Linked DNA regions of Sus scrofa. The protein of the gene in region 3 interacts with the protein of the main gene of each other region in a pairwise test. Links are inferred from orthologs where the notes say so. Each region holds a gene or a part of one and is shown on either strand. Other genes may lie near its edges.

Evidence for each region.
Region 1: the proteins of PRPF31 (region 3) and PNMA2 interact in binary tests that used the Homo sapiens proteins (3 or more experiments, as listed by UniProt). The two-hybrid records come from large-scale screens. The link is inferred for Sus scrofa from reciprocal best matches to the Homo sapiens genes PRPF31 and PNMA2.
Region 2: the proteins of PRPF31 (region 3) and CCNDBP1 interact in binary tests that used the Homo sapiens proteins (3 or more experiments, as listed by UniProt). The two-hybrid records come from large-scale screens. The link is inferred for Sus scrofa from reciprocal best matches to the Homo sapiens genes PRPF31 and CCNDBP1.

What each region holds. Positions count from the first base shown.
Region 1 is NC_010456.5:10,426,208-10,429,953, forward strand, and holds the start of PNMA2 (paraneoplastic antigen Ma2), read right to left. Parts: upstream 2,183-3,746; 5' UTR 2,043-2,182; intron 1,308-2,042; exon of another isoform or gene 1,159-1,307; intron 73-1,158; exon of another isoform or gene 1-72. Other genes in the region: DPYSL2 (dihydropyrimidinase-related protein 2), read left to right, coding at 2,542-2,895.
Region 2 is NC_010443.5:128,266,593-128,270,324, reverse strand, and holds the start of CCNDBP1 (cyclin-D1-binding protein 1), read left to right. Parts: upstream 1-800; 5' UTR 801-927; coding exon 928-1,081; intron 1,082-1,256; coding exon 1,257-1,316; intron 1,317-1,608; coding exon 1,609-1,688; intron 1,689-3,732. Other genes in the region: TMEM62 (transmembrane protein 62), read left to right, coding at 1-215. UniProt on the Homo sapiens protein: May negatively regulate cell cycle progression. May act at least in part via inhibition of the cyclin-D1/CDK4 complex, thereby preventing phosphorylation of RB1 and blocking E2F-dependent transcription.
Region 3 is NC_010448.4:55,998,020-56,001,625, forward strand, and holds part of PRPF31 (U4/U6 small nuclear ribonucleoprotein Prp31), read right to left. Parts: intron 2,595-3,606; coding exon 2,437-2,594; intron 1,192-2,436; coding exon 1,102-1,191; intron 1-1,101. UniProt on the Homo sapiens protein: Involved in pre-mRNA splicing as component of the spliceosome. Required for the assembly of the U4/U5/U6 tri-snRNP complex, one of the building blocks of the spliceosome.

The DNA.
Region 1 (3,746 bases), on a different chromosome or scaffold from region 3:
CCAGGGATCTGAACCCAGGGACTTCATCATGCCTCCTGTTCCTCTTCTAAGACGTGGGAGTGACCTTCCTCCCTGTTGCAATAGAGGAAACATAAGGTGGAAAAAGACACTGGGTACCCAGGAAGAAACAGCTCTAAGGTCTACATAATAATGGTCATGCTGAAGTTAGGCTATCTTTGGGTGTCTTCTTCTTCCAAAACCAGTCTCTACCTGCAATGCAACCTACCTTCAAGTTAAAAAAAATAAAAAATAAAAATAAAAGGCGAGTGAAACATTCCTGACACACAATAAAGCCACAGATGGAAATATTTGAATATAGGGGAAAATGTGAAAATCTTGTCCTTTCTCCTATAAAGACAGGATAAGGTCAAAAAGGAACCAGACTTCCAGGTGGAAGACCTCACTGGAATTGCTGGATCATTTAACTAGACAGTTACCTTGGGCAAAGCCTCTACATCTGTTTTCTACCCTGGAATCCTGGGAAGTGGTGACAATGAAACACTCATCTCAGGGGGCTGCTGGCAGTAGGAAATGGCGTGATTCGTGTGGAAGCATTTTATTCAAATGTGAAGCACATCTGGTGCTCAGTCCAAATGCCTGCCTCTGGTTCTCTCATCCCCTGCACATGTAAATTCCTCTCTCCTCCCTCCTCCTCTCCTTCTCATCCCCAGATGCCTTCCCACCTATCATGGTGGGCTTATCTTCAAACTGGGACTGGTTGTCCTCAGAATTTAACTCCATTTACCAAACTATCCATCACAATTGGGAGAGGCAGGGTATCCACATTTAACCCTTCCAGGGGTGAGGGATGACAATGGGATCGGATCTTTGGTTACTCTGCCCAGCAACGACACTCCTATGGTAGAGTGTTTTCCAGTCCAACCCACCCAGCTTAGTGAGCATGCCCAGAGCTCCTTCTCCAGCAGCCAAAGGATGGGCATCATTTCTGCAGGATTTTGCCACTGAAGAGAGAAAGGCAGGGCTGTAATCAATCATGGGCAGGGACTGAGACGTGGAAAGGACAGAGGGATAGGTGTAAGTAATAAAGAGCCCTCAGAGACTGTGTTACTGGCATACATTAAAATGCCCTCTGGATGCCCACTAAACCGGTGGTGGCTGTGGCTAGTCTACTGGCGCATGCACACCATGTCCCCATACCTCATTCTCCTGCTGGATTTCACACAGTTCTTCACTCATCACAGCTGGCACCCCATCTCCTTACCCTGCACTGGCCGCGCGCGCAAGAAGGCCTCAGGCACGAGGCTTCTGGCAACCTAGGAAACCCCGTGGTTCTGGCGCAGTGCGCAGCAGGGCGGGGAAATGAGGCGGGGCGCCCTGGGCGCTGGGTAGGGCTGGAGATTTGGGGAGTGGGCTTCAAAGAATGTCTTTCTCCCTTCTTTGCCGGGTTGGGGGCGGGGGAAGATGCATTCTGCTGGGCTTTTCTTGGCGCTGTGGCGCAATTACGGTATACGGCGCGCCAGTGTAGCGGTCTGCTCCCTCTCTCACTATACATCCAAGTTGCCGCGCTGGGCTGGAATTTGCAGACTACACTCTTTGCTACACTCCCACAGACCGTGGACCTATGTCTCTCTCTATATATACCGACTTCCTCCGCATTTGCTATGCCTCTCTGCATTTCTCTCCGCCACGCTGCGCGCCCCCCACCACAGTGGGTATAGTAAATGAGGAACTTGTTTCAATCTCTGCTCCCAGTAGCCCACCAAGGCCAATGGATAGACCGCGCCCTATATGGCCCCCACCACTCTGCGCAGCCTGCGCCATCCTTTCTCCGTCCTGAGTGCCGCCCCTTACCTTCCCGCTGAGTGTCCTGAGTCTACCAGTTTCTGCCCCTTTTCCTATCCATTAGCTCGCACTCGGGTAAGGGGGAGGGAACCCTCCACACAGTGGGCCCTCGCCCCTGGGCCAGCTCTGCATTGCGGTGGGAGAGAGGTGCCTGGGCCGGGCAGTTCGGGGAGAGGGGAGCGGGGGCCTGGGATGGCGCCCTCGGATCTTCGCCCCAGCGTGCCCTGCCCCATACTTACCCTGGGGCCGAGAGCGGTCAGCGGGCTTTCTGCTCCGCATCCATTAGCCGGGGGTCTGGCCGCTTCACTTCCGGAGCGTGGGGTCTGGGCGGCGCGGCCCTCCCCAGCTTCCCCAGCGCTGAGCTCCCCTCCCCAGCGCCGCGCCCCGCCCCCGCCCCGCCCGCGCCTCCCCCCACCTCCCGCCGCTGCTGGTAACTGGCAGCCTCTCGGTTCTTGCTGCCGCAGCGGCCACCCTCCCAACCCCAACTTTGCCGCTCGCGGGAGCTCGCGAGGCTGCGGGGGGCGTGGGCAGGGAGGGGAGAAAGCGGGGTCAGGGGGAGGGACCGGGAGGGGTGGGTCGCTCGCTCGCCAGCCCTCGTTCCTTTCTGTACACCTTGCGGTAGGCAGAGAGCAGCAGCCGAGGCAGCAGCCGGGGGGGATTTTTGCACAGAGACAGGCAGACTTAGGGACCCGCTGAGGAAAGAACGGACAGAGAGGACACTCCCCAAGCCCCCAAGCCATGGCAGAGAGGAAGCAATCCGGGAAGGCGGCAGAGGACGAAGAGGTCCCTGCCTTTTTTAAAAACCTGGGCTCCGGTAGCCCCAAGCCTCGACAGAAATTCTGTGGCATGTTCTGCCCGGTGGAAGGGTCCTCGGAGAACAAGACCATCGACTTCGACTCGCTGTCGGTGGGCCGGGGCTCGGGGCAGGTGGTGGCTCAGCAGCGGGACGTCGCCCACTTGGGCCCGGACCCGCAGCCGCCGTACTCCCGGCAGGGTCGGCGCGCCGGCGGGGAGCCATCTGTTGAATCGGGCCGGAAGGTGGAGATCCGGCGGGCCTCCGGTAAGGAAGCCCTGCAGAACATCAACGACCAGGTTGGTATGGAGGAGGGGCGGAGGTGTTCGAGACAGGACGGAGCGTGGGGCTCGCCCCTCCCTCGCGCCCCTTCCAGCTCGGTGAAAAGCCGAGGATCCCAGCGTGCCCACCGTCCTGCCCCACCTCGAATATCGCTTCCCTGCATGTGCACAAGCACCCCACCCTACCCGCCCCTTCTCCGTGCAGGGTTCGGAGAAGCTCGGGCTGGGCGGTGGGCGGCTGTGCGCCCACAAAGGCTCCCCGCGCTTCCCTGGGCCTGGGTGGTGGGGGTAGGGGTAAAGGATGGGCCTATCCCCGGCTGGGGGGTCTCTTGGTTGGAGGGGGAGGGGATGGGCCGAGGTTCCATTCTTCTTAAATCCTCCCGGGCAGCTTCCGATTGCAGCTGTGTCTGGCTGCCCCACCCTTTTTTGATGCAGCTCAGAGCGTGCAGTGGAGGGTTCGCGTGAAGGCCGGCGGGTTCCCCGGGGGTCGGGAGGGGCGGGGGCCTAGACGACAGCTCCCCGCCGCGCCCTGCGTACACTTCCAGCGCATCCCCTCTGTCGTCCTCCGCTCTCGCATCCCGAGCTCGGAGGCCAGGACCATGGTCAGCGCCTCCTCGGACTGCAAGCGAGAATCTATCTCGTCACCCTGACTTCTGTTTGCAGCGAGAGAAGAACCAGGGAGGAGGTGGTGTCACGCGAGGAAACCGCGACCCTCCTAAATAGCCCACGTGGAGAACAGAGTTCCGCTAAGTATCTCAGCAAGGGCTTCCCAGAGCGCTCCCTTCAACCTCCGCCACTATTTGGGAGGGGCTTTGGAGATGGGGACTAAGTGGATTATATTCAACGGGTAAAAAGAAAAGAAAAGGGAA
Region 2 (3,732 bases), on a different chromosome or scaffold from region 3:
TACCTGTTCATCTACTTATGTTACTGCTGTACATCTGGCAGATTTATTCCTGCTACTTTCTTCATATGACATATGGCACTCTAGCTTTATTATTCTCCCCTTTGCGGACCTGGCTGACACTGGTGACACCTGTTCTCATTCGTTGTGTGTGGACACTGAACTCCACAGAGCTTGGAACCTTCATAGTGCAGTTAAAAAGCCACCTGAGTTCCTGAAGGCCATGTCTCATCATCCAGCTCTAGCCCAGGCCTCTGCCCCCCGAAACAGGCGGAAGGCCAATACTAGTAGGCAAGCTTCAGGGAGCTGCTGTTTCTTGGCCGCCTGGGAGGTGGGGGGATTCCCCACTACTGATTTCCTGCATAATGGACTGCAGGAAAAAAATCTCTAAATAATGCCATGATTCCTTCCTTCCCTAAGAAGGCAGAAGGTTGATTTACTTTTGTGAAGAGAGAGCCCTAATCTAGGAGATCCACAGGGCAGGAGCTGGTGTGTTTGGTAGTATGTGAACCCAGTGTTTTTTTAACGTTACCTCATGTAAAGTACCTAGCACAGTGTCTGGAACTCAGCAGGGGACAAGGGCGCCACCACTTGAGGGGCAGGGAACCAGTGCAAACTTGGGCCTGACCCTGACTACCCTTGATTAGTTCCTGGTCCTCTTTTCCCACAGGGTTCTCTGCTTCCTCTGTCGGAGGTGTTTGCCACTAATCAAATAAATGAATAATGAATAAGAAATAACTCTGCGTCGCCTTGCGTGTGTGGTCAGGGCCCGGCGCGGGGGTGGAGTCACGTCGGGGCGGGGCGGGCGGCTTCTCTTGTTGCCGGAAGCGAACCCGCATCCGTGACGCCCGGAAGTGGAGTGGCTACTGCTGTGCGGCTCAGGCGGCTTCCGTGGCAGCTAAGTACGCTGGCTCCCAGAGTCCTACTGGGATGGCGAATGCAGCTCCCCCTGATGCTCCAGTCCCCACCCTGGCTGTGCCTTTGGAGCAGCTCCGGCACCTAGCAGAGGAGCTTCGGTTGCTCCTTCCTGGAGTGCGGGGTGAGCTGACACAGTGGAGACGGACCCCCACAGGGACCGGCGTGGGTAGGGAGAAGCCGGGCCAGGGCGGCGGCGGCACCAGGGAGCGAGGGATGGGGGAGTCGGGGGAGGGGAGGGCGGCAGGGCCCGGCGGGAGCGGAGGAAATGGGGGCCTCAGGTAGCGCCGCTTACCTCTGCTCTTCCTTTTGCGGTGGCCCGGCCCACACGCCGAACCCACTAGTCGGCGAAGCCCGGGAGACTACCAAGGAGTTTAATCGGGAGACCTTTTGGAGAAGATTCAGTGAGTGCCTCTCTTGTTGGAGACTGCCATCTCTCATCTCTTCAGTTGTCCCTGTCCCTTTCCTTCCTGCTTTTCCCCGGCCTGTCCCCTCTGTGGGGATACCTCATCTTACCCATTCTCGGCATCTCTGAGGTTGAGATTTAAAACACTGATTTTTGGAGGTGTTTTGAGACGTCTAAGCCGGCAAGGGTGGAGAGGGAACGTGTTATCTTCACAGCCCGTCCAGCAGCTGCAGCCTTATCCGTTTGGCACTAACATACTGGCTTCTGCCTCCTCCTCTGACTCTTCCCAGATGAGGCAGCTGTGACAGTGTCCACGGAAGCCACTACTCTGACCGTAGTCTTTTCCCGACTTCCACTGCCATCTCCTCAGGTGGGCTTTACTTTTCTGGAATCCTTGTAGTGCCTCTTTATTCTTTAGGAATCCTTTCATTTTCTTTCATGTTTTACACTCAAAGCAAGGGATTTCTTTCTTCCTTCCTCCCACCCTCCCTTTCTCCCGGACTTCCTTCTTTCCTCCTTTCTTTCTTTCCTGCACCCGCAGCTCTCGGAAGTTCCTAGGCCAGGAATCAAACATGAGCCACAGCAGTGACAACACCAAATCCTTAATTGCTAGGAGATCAGGAAACTCCTTAGCGTGGAATTTAGTTTTCTCATCTGTCAAGTAAGATTGCATATCTTATTGACTTCATAGGAACATTAACCTCAAGAGTTCTCATATCACAGGAATATTCTGAAAACCAAGTTGTCAGGTGCAGTACTTGACATGGAGTAGGCAGCTCTTCTAAACATTGGTTCTTTTTTTGTGTTTGCTTTTTAGGGCTGTACCTGTGGCATATGGAAGTTCCCATGCTAGGGGCCAAATTGGAGCTGCAGCTGTCAGCCTATGCCACAGCCACACCAGATCCAAGCCAGTCTGAGACCTACACCACAGCTCATAGCAACGCTGGATTCTTAACCCACTGAGCGAGGCCAGGGTGAAACTCGAGTCCTCATGGATACTAGTTGGGTTTGTTACCACTGAGCCACAACAGGAACTTCAGTGAGTTCAATGAGGTTCAAAATGAACCTCAATATTGGTTCATTTTGAGGTTCATCCTGGTTATTTCCTTTCTGATAATTTTTTATTTTAAGCACTTGCTATTTACTGGGTGTTTTCAGATACATGATCCCTATTTGACAGATGAACAAGCAGGCTCAAAGGCTTCGGTTAAGGTAGATAAGTAGGGGTGCTAGGATTAAAATTAGGTTCTGGGATTCTCTTGTGGCTCAGCAGGTTAAGGATCTGGCATTGTGACTGCTGTGGCTCTGGTTACAGCTGTGGCAAGTGTTCCATCCCTGGCCCAGGAACTTTGGCATGCTGTGGGCCCAGCCAAAAACAAAAACAAAATAAATTAGGTTCTGTCTCATGTCTAAGCTACACCTATTCTGTTATACTACAAAACACCTTTTTTATATTGAATTATTTTTTATAATTAGTAACGATGAATTAGTATAAAATTCAAAAGATATCAAAACCTAAATTAAGTGTGCTGAAAAGTTTATATCTCCCCTCGCTTATTCCTTTTGTGTTATTCCCTATATATACTATGAATATACCCACTTAACGTGTATGTGCCTACTTCTTCTTATGGTAAAATATCTTAAACATTTTTCTGGACTTTCCTTTTTTTTAAAAAAATTTAACAACATAGCTTGAAAATTGATTTTTAGAAGTAGGTATAAAGTTGCTCAATTCTTTGTAATGGCTGTGTGATATTCAATAGTGTGGATATAACTATAGTTTATGTTTGTCTTTTTTTTTTTTTTTTTTTTTTGGTCTTCTCTAGGGCTGCACCTGCGACATATGGAGGTTCCCAGGCCAGGGGTCCAATTGGAGCTGTAGCTGCCAGCCTACAGCACAGCCACAGCAAAGCCAGATCCAAGTTGCATCTGCAACCTCCACCACAGCTCACAGTGGAGCAATCCTTAACCCACTGAGCGAGGGCAGGGATCAAACCCGCATCCTCATGGATCCTAGTCGGGCTCCTTGCCACTGCACCATGATGGGAACTGCCAACCATAGTTTATTTAACCAGTACTGTGTGGACATTTAAGCTGTTTCCAACTTGTAACTGTTATAAACAGTGCTGTTCTAAATTGCCTAACACAATCTTTGTTTATATCTGTATATCAGTAAAAATTCCTAAAAATGGAATTGCTAGATAAAAGAGTGTATGCTTTAGTGTAAAAACCTTGAAAGTAAATATTGTTGGCTGTGGCCAGGTATGCTCTATGTCCAGTATTTCTTGAACTAGTTAAACTTAATTTAGGAATAATTTTATTTTAAAATGGTGTATTCATTGCCTTATTTTATTTTTATAGTCAATACTTTAATTCTCTTAGTCTGTATATCTAGATATTTTGAAATGAAAAAT
Region 3 (3,606 bases):
CGGCTGATGGCACTCAGGTCTAGGCTAAACCCTCACCTCCTTGGAGAAGCCCTCCCTGACATGTGGTTAGTCAGTCCAACCTCCCCAGCCTCTGCTCAGCACCACTGGACACACAGCAGATCGGCCTGCGTCTCCTTGCCCCGCCTCCAACGGGAATGGAAACGTCGCGGGGCAGGGCTTCTGTCTGCGGGTGCACTGCTGGACCCCGGCATCCAGACCGGGGGTCAGAGAGAGCGAGACCAGATCCCTCAACGCTGTGCCAGGCCGGGAGCCTGGGAGACGAAGGTGCACAAGACAGAAACACCTACCCTCGCAGAACAAGTGTGCCAAGGAGGCGAGGTTGCTGGAATGGGTACTGAAGGGTGACAGTGCTGGTGGAGGGCACGGACCCCCATGTCGTAGGCCAAGCAAGCCTCCCCCACCCCCAAAGGTGTCTGTGAGCCACTCTCTGGTCCTTATGAACCGTCACCTCGCCCGGGCCAGGGATCAAACCCCAGCCACAGCAGCCACCCCAGGATCCTTAACCCACTGCACCACAAGGGAACTCTTATTTGATTTTATGAGCGGCCATGTGATTAAGTTAAGGATCCTGAAATGGGGAGGTGCCCTAGATGGTCCGATCCTGGGGGATCCCAGGGGCCCAGTGTAATCCCTGGGACCTCAAAGGAGTCGGAGGCGTGAAGACAGATGCAGAGTCAGGCAGAGGCGGGAAGGTGCCGCACTGGCTTCGGAGAGGGAGGCAAGTGCCACGAGCCGAGGGGCGCAGGTGGCCTGTGGAAGCTGGAAAAGGCGGCGGAGCGACCCTCCGAGGACACAATTCTGCCGACACCGTGACCTCGGCCCAGTGAACCACCACGGGCTCCGGACCCAGGGAACTTTAAGTCAGTAGCCCTGCAACGCTTTAGGCCACTAGGCTGAGCAGTGACGGGAAACTGGTACAGCAGGGGCAGGGGAAGTGGACCTGGGGGTGGGGGGGCACAAACACTCCCACCTCCACCGTCAGGACAGCGCAGACGGGGTGGGGGTGGGGGTCCTCTGATCACAGCTCCCCCCACCCCCACCAGACCGCAGACATGCAGACAGATGCCGGCTGCCCCTCACCTTCCCCTCCGTACTCTCGTGGAAACTGTCCACGCGCGCTGCCAGCGTGCACTTGGCGGCCACCAGCCGGGCCGCTTTCCGCCGGAGATCCTGGAGCAACGACAGAGAGGCAGAGTCAGCGTGAAGATACAATCAGATCACAGCCGTTTCCAGAACTCCTGCCGCCATGGGCTCCGTTTCCCACACCAGCTTTTGTCTTCACTGCTGTCGTTACTGGAATAACGTGTAACAATAGCAAAATGTTGCGGTCGGTGTCTCCTCTCACCCACCTTCCCATCTCCCCAGACAACAGAGATGCATTAACACAGAGGCAAGACGATGAAATACTGAGAAAACATGTTACAATTAAAATAAATAAATGAATAAAATCAAATAAGAGTTGCCTTGTGGTGCAGTGGGTTCAGGACCCAGTGTAGCCGCTGTGGTGCAGTGGGTTAAGAATCCTGGGGCAGCTGCTGTGGCATGGGTTTGATCCCTGGCCCAGGAACTTCAGCATGCTGCAGGAGCAGCCAAAATGTATTTTAAAATATTTTTAAAAAATCCATCAGTGTACCTGAAAGGCAGGGGCTGGAGCTCTGAGAAATACCAAGATGATACATGAGCCCCCAAGTCCCAGTTAGCAACGATAGGAGAACTGAACCCAGTTAGCCAGCGCAGCGGAGAACTGAACCCTGCCCGAAGAGGCCTGGCCTTGGCCCTGGCTCCTGGGCGTCCTGGTGGGGGCCCTGGCTAAGCTAGCGTGCAGCCCTGTGTTTCAGGGTGGGGTCTCTCACCAGGCAACCCCATCTCTGCCTGAGCCAGGTAGAGACGGAGGCCTGAGGCCCCGCTGGGCGTCCTGGTGGCGACTGTGTCCTGTCTCATGTGGTGCCTGTTTGGTGCTTCCAGACCCTGCCCTCACGCTTCTCCCTGGCTGGTGTTCGTCTGGGTTCCCACGACGTGATGAACCTGGATCAGCTCGAGGTGAGCTCTGCAAGCCCTTCTGGGGGTCACTGAACCTGACCATGGCCTTGGGAACCCCGATCTCACGCTTCCATCACTTTTGATGTGTGAGGCCTGCCCTCAGAGTGTTTCTCGTATGACTGAGTCCACGTCGCGGCCCCTGAAGCAGGTTCACTCCCCCAGCTTCCAGACAGGGAGGCCAAGGCTCAGCACTCAGGCCTCTGGCCCAGCTGCGAAGTGGCGCGGCCAGCATCCCAAACTGGCGCATCAGCTGTGGCATCCTTAACCCATGTGGGGCATCCTCTAGGGTTCCATGCACCGGGGTCACAGGGGAGCCGCGGGCCCTGGGGAGCTGCCCTGTGGGGCATGGCAGGTGCGGTGGGGCTGGGGGCTCACCGGGGGCAGGGACTGCACGATGTCGCTGTGGTAGATGTAGCCGGTGTGTGGCAGCACCGAGGTGGACGAGAAGCCGGACAGCGTCTTGCGCTGGGCGCCGAGCAGCATGATGTTGCAGGCGGGCATCTTGGAGAGGTTGGTCAGGCCGCCGGCCACACCTGCGCAGGAGGGCGGGAGTCAGAAGGCAGGCGGGGGCGGGGGGGTGTGTGTGCACGTGCGGGGGTCACTGTGTTGGAGCCTAGGCGGCCCCGCCAGGGAGGGCCAGGTGTCCCACTCCAGGGGGCATTCAGAGGTGGCTTAGAGAAGTGAAGCAACTGGCCCAACAGGAACCTGACCCCAGAGCCTGCAAAGCTGCGGGGGGCCTCCCCCCCCCCGCTCTGTGCTTGAGAGCGGTTTTCACCACACCGGGAGCACGTGCCCACACGGCCCAGTGTGGCACGGCATCTAGGTCCCCTGGAGCGTCTGCAGGCGTGGGGGATGGGAAGAGGAGCGGTGGGTAACACGTTCTCCCTCTGATGGGGACCACTGTGGGCGGGGCCCTGTGCTGGGGGTTTCTGAGGATGTGGCCCACTGTCTCATCCAACACGTGAATCCTCGAAACAAGCCTCCAACGCCTGTGCGGGAGCAGAACAGCGCCCCACGGTCACTGACATCGCAAGCCCCAGAAGTTGTGCCTGAATACAGCCAAGGGGACTCGGCAGGGCCCTGAGAAGGGGAGACTGTCCTGCAGGACCTGGGCGGCTCAGTGTCACCGCAGGGTCCTCGACGGCAGGAGAGAAGGGCGGAGTCAGAAGGGATGGCCAGGATGGAGGAGCCCCCCCCCCCCCAAGGAGGGCAGGCGCCTCTGGACGCTGGAAACGGCAGGGAACGCGGCTTCCTCCCTCCCCGCCCCCCACCCCAGGACCAGCCCTCCTTCCCCACCCCTTCATTTTAGCCCGGTGAGGCCCCTGGTGGACGTGTGACCTCCACAACGGTCGGGTGGTAAACTGCACTGTTTAAGCCTCTTGGTCTGTGGTCGTCTGTTACAGCAGCAACAGGAAGCTGGCACACCCTCCAGTCACCACTGGGGACACTGAGGCACGTGACAGCATTTACCCAAAGATTGAGGTCAGTGTGGGGAAGCAGGATCCACACCCGAATTTGTCCTGCCCCGAAATCACTACCTCTTCT